3 linked regions of the Elephas maximus indicus genome follow. The protein of the gene in region 1 interacts with the protein of each later gene in a pairwise test. Links are inferred from orthologs where the notes say so. Each region holds a gene or a part of one and is shown in the gene's direction. Other genes may lie near its edges.

Region 1 (3,744 bases):
ATAATGATAGTACCTACTTCATTGAGAGGATTCAATGAGGTGATGCATGCCACGTACATACTAAGTACTTTAGAAATGTTATAGATGGTTACAGTTGAGAGAACTGAGGCTCTCCAAGGGGAAGTGAGAAGTTTTCGTCCTAATATAGACACTGCAGGTACCTAGTATAAATCACAGGTAGAGTGCCACCCTCCATTTTTCCATGAATTATGCTCTGAGAGTAATTGTGTAAATCTGACATTGGGGCCTCCCCAGACCCAAGGTCTGTGTCCTCTAAGGCAGCTCTCAGGCTGTAAAAGGTCCTGGCCTAGGAACCAGAGACTGGGGCTGCTGCAGATTCTTTCTTCACTAACCTTGGGCAGGCTACTCCCCCCTTCTGGGCTTCAGTTTCCTCTTTTATAAAATGAAGCTTTTAAGCTGAATGAGAGGCAAGGTTTCTTCCTCCTTCTCCAGCAGTCTGAATCTGTGTTAAATTCCTGATAAGGTAGGAGTACATTAGGTCATGTAAAGATACTTAACTGCATGTAGCCAGCCCAAGATTCCAAAGACCCTGCGTTTCCTGAAAGGGCTTGCGAAATGGTCTATGGATGTAAACATTCACATTTGAGCTTTTTTCTGAGAGTCGCTTTCTTTAGTTTTTCAAAGGAGGTGTGTGATCTCAAGAGATTAAGCCACCAGCCTGGTTTCAGGCCTTATTATCTTCTGTCAGGACTATGGCAATAGCCTCTGGTCTCCCCACCTCCTTTCTCCTCCTCGCCAATAGATCCTCCGCTTACCACACAGGGCATCTTTCTAAACTGCACTGCTGACCCTTTCATTCCCGATTAAATATTTCCATTGGCTCCAGTTGCCCAAATTCCTTGCATGACTTTTAAAGTCCATCATGATCTTACTCAGCCCTCTCTCCATATTCATAGCCTGCCACACTTAACCCATTGTCTCCTTCCTCCCCCTCCTCTCCAGCCCTCTGCTTTTACCTTAGGGCCACAGGGAACTTTGAAACTTTTCACTGGTTCCTGAATGTGTCAAGAACTTTCATATCTCTCTTCCTTTGCACATCAAAATCCACCTACTTCAAAATCCACCTCAGAGGTCATCTCCTTTGTGAATCTTCGTGACTACCAACCCCCACCCAAAGTTAGGCACACCTCTTTCTGGCTTCCACTTCTTTATCACAGCATTTATCGCCCTAGATTGTAGTTGTGTGTTTAAGTGTCTGTCTCTCCAACAAGATAGGAAGTTCTCCCAGGAGAGAAACGAACTTTGACCATTTAACCTCCAATATTTTTTTTTTAGTCAGCACAGGGCCTGGCATCATATAGTACTGGTAAAAAACAAAACAAATTCTTTCGAACGAGTCAGTGAATTAAAGAAGTCACAAGTGAATAGGTGAAGAGTGAGTTTAGACCTGCACAGGTGCGAATTGCTTTCATCCCTGTGCCCGCTGTCCCGCCGGAACTACATTTCCCAGAAGACCGCGCGTCGTGGGCATGCGTACAGAGCGCTCGGAAGCTGCGACGCCGAGTTTCACTCTAGCTGTCTCCTCAGAGTCGGATCCTTAACTGGAGTGCTGCCCAGGTGAAGCCGGAGTCCCAGCGCGAGCGCCAGCGTTCCCCTCAACCTGTCCTCCTCTCCCGCCTCAGCTTTGGTGAGAGGGACGGGCAGGTCGTCTGCCCGTCGCCTGGGTTGGGGTCCCAGGGGCGGGGGGAGACTGAGCCGAGCTGGGACCGGAAGGGGGAGGCGTGGGAGTGAGGAAGGGCTGTGCTGGGGTCCCGGAGCCCTGGGGGTGAGGGTCTGGGGCTGGGAGGACTGGCCTCCGGGCTGGGGGTCCCAGAGGCGGAAGTTGGGGGAACTGGGAGGCGCTAGGGGCTTAGGACAGGACTGGGTGCCGGGGAGGAGGGTGAACGCTTAGTTAGAAGCTGAAAGGCTGCAGGGGGAGGGGCACAGACCCTAAGAGTTGGAGTCCGTCGGGAGACGTGCGCCCTTTTCCGCTAGGACCTGGAGGAGGTGGTGGCATTGCCACCGGGCTACCTGATTAGGGTATGAGGTCTGCCGCCAGGTGAAGGACTAACTGGGACCCGGGGTTGTGCTTTGGAAGACTTTACTTCGTAACTCAGTTTCCCTCCTCTCAAGTGGGGTTCTCTTTCCCGGAAGCTGTTTCCTGGTCGCTTTTGGGTGATCTGTAAACTATGCTGAAGAGGATTTAAAAGACTCTTCCTTTTTCTGGAGCTATTCTTTTTCATCCTTCCTTTCTCTGTCTGCTGCTGCCTTCCACACAGGTTCCACTTCCCTTAGCGCCCACAGCTGTAGACATAGGGTGTGTACAGACTCTTGGACCATGAATTAAAAGAAAACTCAAAATATTTCTGCATGCTATCCTAGCCCCTCTAGAATTCTGGAAAGTAGAATTTCTGGTAGCCAAAATCAGGCCTTACTTGAGCCATCAGGTTAAGTAAGCCTCTTATTCATTTGCTTTGTGACCATGGCCAAACTTTTACCATCTGGTGTGTTGACTTCCTGGATGTCTGCACTGTAGACGGGGTTATGAAATCCTTTTAGGCCTTCTAAGCAAGGGCTGGAAACCCTGGTGGCGTAGTGGTTAAAAGCTACGCCTGCTAACCAAAAGGTCTGCAGTTTGAATCTACCAGGTGCTCCTTGGAAACTCTGTAAGGCAGTTCTACTCTGTCCTGTAGGTAGGGTCGCTATGAATCGGAATCAACTCGACGGCAGTGGGTTTGGTCCTCGTTTATTCAAGGGCTCAGAAACCCTGGTGGTGTAGTGGTTAAGAGCTACGGCTGCTAACCAAAAAGTCATCAGTTTGAGTTCACCAGGCACTCCTTGGAAACTATGGGGCAGTTCTCCTCTGTTGTGTAGGGTCGCTGTGAGTTGGAATCGACTCGATGGCAACAGTTTTTTTTTTTTTTTTTTTGGTTGGATACAAGCAGGTATAAAAGCGTGTGTGTGTGTGTGTGTGTATTGAACTATGCCCTTGACTGTTGAGTGGGTGGAGGGAGACTACTGTACCTTCTTGCTCTGCCCAGGCTGAGTTGGGAAATCTGATGGTTTGTCCTTTTCCCGAGCTGCAGCACACGGATCCAGCATCTGTGCGTTCGTTTTCACTAACTGCTGTTTCTCAATTTAAAACCTGATCTCTCCTTTCTTACCGGCAAAGGTGCCTTGGAATGTGTGTCGCAGAGTCAGCAAGCCTTTCACATTTGCCTGTTTTTTGTTGTTTGCTTTTTATATCAAGATGGGAACTCAAACAAGTTATTCCTGCTAACGATCTGGTGTCTCCATCAAGAAGGGAGTTTGTGCCAGCTCTCCTTAGAGAAAAGGTGAGAGCCATGGCGACTTCATTTTGCTGCCTTCACAATTTCATTTTCAACAGAGAAGGTAGGGACTGAAGAGGGTGGAATTTGAGGGCTCCAGGATGAAAAGTGAGCCTTGGGAAGTTGATTGTTGATTGCCAGCTGACTCAGATAAATTAAAGTGGCTTCTTGCTAATTGCTTCTCCAGTTTAGCCAGTCTTAGAGGATGCTTTCCACATGATTTCCACTTTAAGACATACTTAATGGGATGAAGGACGGAATCACGATTTCTATATTTGAACTGGAAAATTTTCTTTGTCACATAACCTTTAGTGGGTGCCTCCTTTCTATCAAGCCATGTTCTCAGTGCTGGGGGTACAATGATGAGAAACAAGATCTCTGCCCTGTGGGAGCTCATTGTTGGGTGGAAGAGATA
Region 2 (3,744 bases), on another chromosome or scaffold:
GCACGAGACCACTGTGTTGTGTAAATGCTGCTCTGTACTCAGCAATGAATAACCACTCCATTTCAGACTGTTTACTTAAGGGTGGAGGCTTTCACACACAATCGATGTTTCTGGGTATTTAAACTATTTAACGCCCAGAGATAAGAGAGAAGGCAAGGCCCCCAATTACCCATTCTTCTATCCCTTCTCACCCGATCCCACTCTACCTCCCTGGGCCACCAAATCCCAGCATGTGGGTGACCCGGTTCTAAGTCTTCTCCTGCTGTTGAACCATATGACCTTGGGAAAGGCACTTCTCTACCCTGAGCCTCAGTTTCTGTATCAGCCAACTGTGGGGGCTAATGGTGGGGTGGAGAAACAATGCTTGGGGTGTATTTTCAAATAAGAATTTTCTTCAGGAAGTATTTGTCACTATTGATCTGACTAATAGGCTCTTCATGATATCCATCTGTTTATGGATTCACCACTATGGTGATGTTTTCTACCTAAAAGTCATGACCTTTCACACAGATCTTACTGTGTGGTAGAAAACAACCCCTCCAAGCTCTGGGCAGCCCAGCTCTACCAGGATATGCAAATCAAAGCATCAGAAAAAAAGCATTTTAAATGATCAACTTAAAATTGTAAATAAGGCTCTTGCAGCAACCTCAGATAATAACCAACGACAATCACCATGGCGAGAAGGTAGCCGAGCTTGGGCCCAGCGGCCTCTGCCTGGACGTGTTTACTGAGTGCACCTTGAAGCTTTGTGTTGCGGTGGCCTTGGAGGTGTGGGGGACCTTAGGAATTTCTGGACGTCCTTCCTTCAGCACCGGGGACTGGGTCTCTGCCCCGAGGAGCCTAGTTGCGCGGCCCTGGCATGCTAAGTGGGCAGCACTGGAACGCCTTTGTTTCTTGCGGCCATCTCCAAGGACCCCGTTTCCCTCTTGAATCTTAATGGACTTCGGCCCCACCCGCTCCGCCCTGGCCCACAAGGCTGGGGACGGCGCCCCTCGATGATGCGCCCCCGGACATTTGGGATGTGGGTGTGGGGGGCAAACTAAGGCGGCACGGGAGGGGGTGCGCCTGAAGGCCCCAGCCTGGGCAGGCCCAAGCACCTACGCGGGCCCGAGGGGGCGGACGCCCGCCTGCTTCCCCCCGCCCGCAGGGGCACCCCTCCAGCCAGAGCCTCCAAACTTCGGGGGTCCAGCCGCCCGCAGCCCCAAGTCTCGCGGTGCTACGGCTCGGACGGGGGAGCCACGGGCCGGGCTTCCGAGCGGCGCGGACTGCGCGCCCCCAGCCGCGCGACAAAGGCTGAACCCGGAGGAGGAGGCCGAGGAGCAGGAGGAGGAGGAGATAAAGGCGGGGCGGCGAACGGCGGCGGCGGCGGCGGCGGCGGTGAGAGCGCGGAGGCAGCGACCGCCCGCGCCGTCCTTTGTGTGGCGGCGGCAGCGGCGGCAGCGGCGGCGGCGGCGCCTGGGCCTGCGCCGGCCGCGCCTGGCCCCGGGGGGCGCTCGGCTCCGCGCGCCCCTCCCGCTTCCCGCCGGCGCGCGCCCATCCTTCCCCGGCAAGATGGCAACCCCGGCGGCAGTCAACCCTCCGGGTGAGTAACGGCGCGGCCCGGCCGTTCGGCCGCTGCCCGCAGGCCCTGCCCCGGGGTCGGCGCGGGCCAGGCGCGGCGGGCGTCCTCCGGCCCGGGAGCTGGGCGCTCAGTCCCGGGGTAGGGTGGGGGAGCGGCTGTCACTCCGCGCAGCTGCCTCAACATCAGCACCAGCAAGAGCGCAGCATCTATATCCCTCTCTCTGCCCCATCCCAGACCCCAGGATGCGCCTGCCTGGATTCGCGGGCAGCAGGACTTCGGATTCTGCAGCCCCGGCAGCCAGAAGGACCGGTCCTGGATCCACTCAAGCTCCGATAAAACCATATTTGCCTTCTCCATTCCGCGCATTTTTCTCTTCCGGTCCCAGCCCCTGTGGCATCTCCGCGTCAGTGGGTCTTGGAGGGTAGAAGGGTGCCACACTGACGGAGGGAAAAGTTTGGAGTTAGGATTCAACAGGGTAGAACTCCGGCCCCCAGATTTTCCCCTGCCCGCCTGGCCATCGAGCGCTGGTCCTTTGCCCCTTTGGCAACTGGCGGGTGTGTATCATAGTCATTAGTTCGTACAACCTGTGATAACAGCGTGGGGCATCCCCAGTCCTGCCCAAGTCACATTCTCTGTCATCTGGGGCTGAACTGTGACATCTGTGCTCATTTCGGTAGTTTTTGAAAGTGGAAGGAGGGCAAAAAGGGGACAGCTAGGCTGGCTGTCGCAAAGTTTTGGGTGTTGTGCACTGACTGCTGTGGGTATGGGCTGGAAGCAGGGAGTCAGAGGCCAGTTGTCAGTTGTGGGGAATTCCTAGGAGAGGGAGGTCGTCTGTTGGGGGTGGGGTGTGGTGGGAGGACAGTCACAATGCCTAGCAAGTGTCATCAGAGAGTTAGGAATGAAGTACCCTTTCCAGCCCAGGTGGTGAGCGAAGGTTTTTTGGAGGTTGGATATTTTAGTGAGATCTTGAAGAATTGGAAATTTTGAATATACAGAGCAGGGGGCTGAGGGGCATTGCAGGCAGGAGGGATAGCGTAAGTGATGGTGACTTGCTGTGAGCATGCCTAGGGTTCGGTGAGTCGTTGGTGCACTGGGGTTATCAAAGGGAGCAGTGGGATTGATTGTACATGGAATTGTTTGGATGTGGCCACGCTTCAGAGAACTTCGAATGACAGGCTCAGGAGTATGGGTTCTGTCCCTCCACTTCTGGGAAGACCCTCAATGGTTTTAAACAAGGAAGTCATGTGATCATTGTTCCTCTGGAAGATGAATTTGTCAGCCATACATAGGAGGGGTAGGACTGGAGGCGAAGAGGCCAGGTTGAAATGGAACAGGTGCTGGGGAGGTCCGAGTTAGCTGCGGTGGCTGGGAACAGAGAGGAAAGAAAGGTAAAGGAGTTCAGATGTGGCAGCTGATTAGATTTGGGGTAAGGGAGGAGGAGGAGGTAAAGGAGGTACAAAGGGGAGGTTTCCATGGAGACACAGAGGTGAGGTGCCTGTGTAACTCCAAGGAAAGAGGCTCCATAAACAGAAATTAGGGAGTCCTGGGCAAACAGGCCAGGAGTCCCCTCTCTAGAACATTGGGTGGGAGCAGGGCTGGGTGGGAGCAGGGCTGGGTGGAAAGCACAGCTGGGCCAGTTTGCTTGCAATGGAAGCCTACAATTTCAACCTGCTCAGCTCCTTAAAATCAATAGCAAAAAAAAATCAATAGCAAACTGATCGATTTAAAAGCTGTTAAATTAGAAAAAGCAGAAAATGTTAAATAAGATATTTCTAACATAGGTTAAGATGGGAAATTGGAATGAAAACACAGGGGCAATTTACATAACTTACATACCATCACAGCACTGTTTAAAGCTGTTTTGTCCGTGACATTGTTTTGTGAGCTACAGAATAAATAAGGCCCACCTGCCCAGCTGGTGGTGCTGAGCACATGGATGCCGGTGTCTGGACCAGGGGAGACCTGAATGGTGCAAGCCCCGGGTATTGTTTGTAAACACCTGGCCTCCTTGGCAGACAGTGACTTCTGTGTCATTTCTCTGTTGGTGGAGATAACCAGGGATCTTGAGTGTGGTGAGAATTTCTCAAGTGCCCCGTCTGCAGCTGTGAAAATTTCTTGGGGTGATCACCTGTTCTCTTATCCATCTGTGGGACATACTGTCCTTGCCCCATCTGAATCTAACT
Region 3 (3,744 bases), about 150 kb from region 1:
CAGAGGAGAGGCAGCACCTGGCTCAGGCCAGGCTTAGGGATGTAAGGGCCCCTTTGTGTCAGGACAGCAGCCCTCAGTGTCCTCCAAATGTCTCATTCTGCACTCCCTCCTCAATGCTGCCTCCAGCTTCCCAGAGACACTGCCCTTACCCTGCTGGTCAGCTCCCGGTTCAGGTTCTCCACCTGAGAGAAAGTTGCGGAAGCCTCTTTGCCATTGACCTTACGGAGCTTGGGCAGGAGAAAGGAGACTTTCAGGTTGTCACTGACCTGGGAGATAAGGGAACCATGGCTCAGAGGCTGCCCATCTGATCCCAGAAGAGTCCTGGCCCCAGGGCCTGGGGCCTGGGGGAGGCACTCACCGTCAGGAAGGGGTTGCCCTCCAGGCTGAGCTCCTCGAGCTGTGGGAACTGGCACAAGAAAGTGACGTCCCCCAGCTGGTTGTTGGCACAGCGGAGGATGCGCAGGTGGGACAGGCCCAGGTTGGCAGGCAGTGTGTCCAGCTGGTTGTTGGACAAGTCCAGCTCTTGCAGCTGCCTTAGGCGGCCCAGGAGACTGGGGTCCAAGTGCTCAGAGCGTAGCTTCAGCCCTGACAGGCTGAGGTGAGGAGGGAGGCAGACGTGGAAGGCTCAGGGGGCAAGCAGGGGGCCGGCATGCCTCCCACCCTACACCTCCAGCTGCCCCTGGCCTCAGATGGCCTTCTCCCCTCACATTTCTGGAACATGCACAACCCCTTCCTCCCCACCCCTCACACTTTTTATTTACTTATTTTTAATCTTGCCATACTTCAGGGCTCAGCCGAGCATAGTCCCCTCCAGGATGGTTTTCCTGATCCTCTGGGGGCTCCCTGTGCTCCCCACGGCCCCCCCACCCCAGTTATATCAACACTGTCTGTCACCCTAGCAGTCAGGGCACTTTTCCGGAGTAAGGCCACTCGGGGCCCAGGGGGCACACGGGTAGGGTGGCGGTTCGGCCCCGTGTCACTAGAGGAAGGCACCTGGCGATGGGGCGATGGCGAACCGAAGAGGCGCTAACCGGGATGGGCATGGAGTCGGGGAGGGCCCCAGGCTTTCTTCCCGACCCCCGGCAGCCCAGGCCCGGGCAGCCCAGACAGCCTGGGTGGCGGGCTGTGTGGCCCTGATCCCGCGGACACAACCTCGCCCCCGGCCCAGCCCTTACTCCAGGCTGCGGATCTTCCCAAGCCGATCGCTCTTGGGCCGGCCACGCTGCATCAGCAGCCGCGTCGAGAGGGGGCCCATGGCGAGAAGGCGTGGCCCGTGCCGCCACCAACGGCAGCTCCAGCGTTCGAGAAGCCCGGTACTGTCGCCCGGCGGTGAGCAAGCCCAGAAGGCGGCGCCTCGCGAGCCCGTCAGCGGTGAAGACCGGAAGGAAGCGGGCCCTCGGACCACGTGTCCAGCGGTGAGGACTACAACTCCCAGCGGCCCACGCGGCCCCGCGCCTGCGTCCTGGCTGCCCGGGCGGGGCTATGGCGGCGGCGACGGTGGCAGAGGCACCAGAGGTCCTTCAGGAATGTGGCTGCAAGGGCATCAGGACCTGTCTGATCTGCGAGCGGCAGCGCGGTGGTGACCTGTCCTGGCAGCTCCCTCCGCAGGTAAGGACTGGGACATGGACCGCGCCCACAAACTCCATTCTACATATGGGGAAACTGAGGCCCAGATTAGTCACGAGACGGGCCAGGACCAGACTGTCAGGAGCCCGGGGCGTTGCAGGGTGAGGGGATGAGGGCTTTGAGGAGTGGTCTTGGGTGTAGAGAAGGGGCTCCTCCACGTGGGGTGTCGTCCAATCACAGTTCACCTCCGGGACCTTGGGGAGTGTGTCAGCAAACCTCGACCTAGCCCCTCCCTGTCTGGTGCTGAGCTTCACGGGACCTGGGGAGAAGACAGAAAGAGTGAGGGTGGGGGAAGCCAGGGCAAAGGGGCCCCAAACAACTTGGACCGAAATTGTCCAAAAAGAAAAAAAAAATCGTTGCTGTTCAGTCAATTCTGACTCATAGCGACCCTATAGGACAGAGTAGAACTGCCCCATAGAGTTTCCAAGGAGCGGCTGCCAGATTCGAACTGGCGACCTGGTTAGCAGCCAACGCTTAACCACTCAAGGAGAATATTAATTCCTATTTAACCAAAAACTTAACCCACTGCTGTGGAGTTGATTCTGACCAATAGCGAAAGTGGGTTTAGGGTTTCCAAAGGTGTAAATCTTTAGGAAGCAGACTACCTCATCTTTCTCCCCTGGAGTCTCTGATGATTTTGAATTGCGGACCTTTTGGTTAGCAGTGATCACTTTAACCACTGCGCCACGTGGCCTGGAAATATTTTAGTTGGCTGCAAGCACGGTCCATGTTGGAGCTGCTTAGACAAAGGCCTGGGGGAAGTGCATGTGCTTGGAGAGTGGAGTGAGGCTCAGGCTGGAAAAAGCAATGGAGCCTGCCGACGGAGACGCCTGTGTGTCCACTGAGCAGGGTGGATGTGTCCTAAAGTCCACAGGGAGCTCCTAAACGGTCAGATGTGAATTTTAAAAAGCTCCTGGGGTAGACTGAGAGGCATGGTATGAAGGTATGGAGGCTGGGAAGCCAGTGGAGAAATCTCTGCGGTGTTCACAGTAGAAGTGCTGGGGGCCTGAAACAGTTCAGGCTGGTGGCCATAAGCCTGGAGACATGGGGCACTGTGGGGTGGCACCATCCCAGCTTGGATGGTTGTTGGATGAGGAGAGCAAGATGTCCAGTGCGAGGGGTCCAGGAGACAGGAGATGGTGGCCCAAAGCTCAGGAGACATCTAAGCTGAAGTCAGAGGCTGAAGGTGAAGCTTCAGGGGGCGAGAACAGTGAGAGAAGAATGGAGGACCAGCAGTAGGGCCCTGGGGATGGGAGCAGGGAGAGAAGAGAGGCCACAGAGGGCCAGGGTGGAGCTTTGATGGGCTTTGCAGTCCTAGCTGGGCAAGCTCTGGCCAGAGCCTCACATGCAGGAGCAGCTATGGTCCCTACCTCCTGGGGTTGTCCTGAGGATTAAAACTGAGTGGTACATATAATCCAGCAAATACTACGTTAGGTTCTAACTCTTACGTTAGTCAAGAAAGCCAGAAGAACTTATGGTGGGCCCCTAGATAGTTTATGATAAGGAGATGACTCGGGATGGGGGCTGGCCACACAAGAAAAGACCAACCATGTGATCAGAGGTTGGGACTTTGAGCTATGTGATGTCAGCTCAGCCTCCAGGGGAGAGGAGGGGGCTGGAGATTGAGTTGAACAACATACAGAATGATTTAATCAATCATGCCTACATAATAAAGCCCCCAATAAAACTCTGGACACCAAGCTCAGGTGAGCTTCCTGGGTTGGCAGTACTCCTTGCGTGTACTGGCACATATCGTCGCCGGAAGAGAGTAATTCATCCCTAAGAACACAAAAGGTTCGCCTTTGGAACTCTCCCGGTTCCAGGTTCCACTCTATGTGTCTCTTAGGCTGGTTCTGATCTGTATCCTTTGGCTATAATAAAACTGTAATTTTAAGTATAGCACTTCCCGAGGGTCTGTGAGTCGCCTTAGCAATTTATATGAACCTGAGAGAATCCATGGGGACCCCCGAATTGGCAGCAGGCTGGACAGAAGGGAGGATGGCCTTCTGGACCCCTGAATTTGCAGCTGGTGTCTGAAGTCTTGGGCAGACTTGGCAGTCTGGAGGACTGTGCCCTTAACCTCAAGTTTGGTTAAGTCATTGTAGACATTATAAAGTG

Evidence for each region.
Region 2: the proteins of DTX2 (region 1) and ARNT2 interact in binary tests that used the Homo sapiens proteins (3 or more experiments, as listed by UniProt). The link is inferred for Elephas maximus indicus from reciprocal best matches to the Homo sapiens genes DTX2 and ARNT2.
Region 3: the proteins of DTX2 (region 1) and ALKBH4 interact in binary tests that used the Homo sapiens proteins (3 or more experiments, as listed by UniProt). The two-hybrid records come from large-scale screens. The link is inferred for Elephas maximus indicus from reciprocal best matches to the Homo sapiens genes DTX2 and ALKBH4.

What each region holds. Positions count from the first base shown.
Region 1 is NC_064830.1:94,110,925-94,114,668, reverse strand, and holds the start of DTX2 (probable E3 ubiquitin-protein ligase DTX2), read left to right. Parts: upstream 1-1,513; 5' UTR 1,514-1,648; intron 1,649-1,910; exon of another isoform or gene 1,911-2,040; intron 2,041-3,250; exon of another isoform or gene 3,251-3,335; intron 3,336-3,744. UniProt on the Homo sapiens protein: Regulator of Notch signaling, a signaling pathway involved in cell-cell communications that regulates a broad spectrum of cell-fate determinations.
Region 2 is NC_064831.1:70,470,525-70,474,268, forward strand, and holds the start of ARNT2 (aryl hydrocarbon receptor nuclear translocator 2), read left to right. Parts: upstream 1-1,458; 5' UTR 1,459-1,551; coding exon 1,552-1,582; intron 1,583-3,744. UniProt on the Homo sapiens protein: Transcription factor that plays a role in the development of the hypothalamo-pituitary axis, postnatal brain growth, and visual and renal function. Specifically recognizes the xenobiotic response element (XRE).
Region 3 is NC_064830.1:93,961,753-93,965,496, reverse strand, and holds the start of ALKBH4 (alpha-ketoglutarate-dependent dioxygenase alkB homolog 4), read left to right. Parts: upstream 1-1,448; 5' UTR 1,449-1,482; coding exon 1,483-1,608; intron 1,609-3,744. Other genes in the region: LRWD1 (leucine-rich repeat and WD repeat-containing protein 1), read right to left, coding at 150-266, 359-593, 1,176-1,255. UniProt on the Homo sapiens protein: Dioxygenase that mediates demethylation of actin monomethylated at 'Lys-84' (K84me1), thereby acting as a regulator of actomyosin-processes.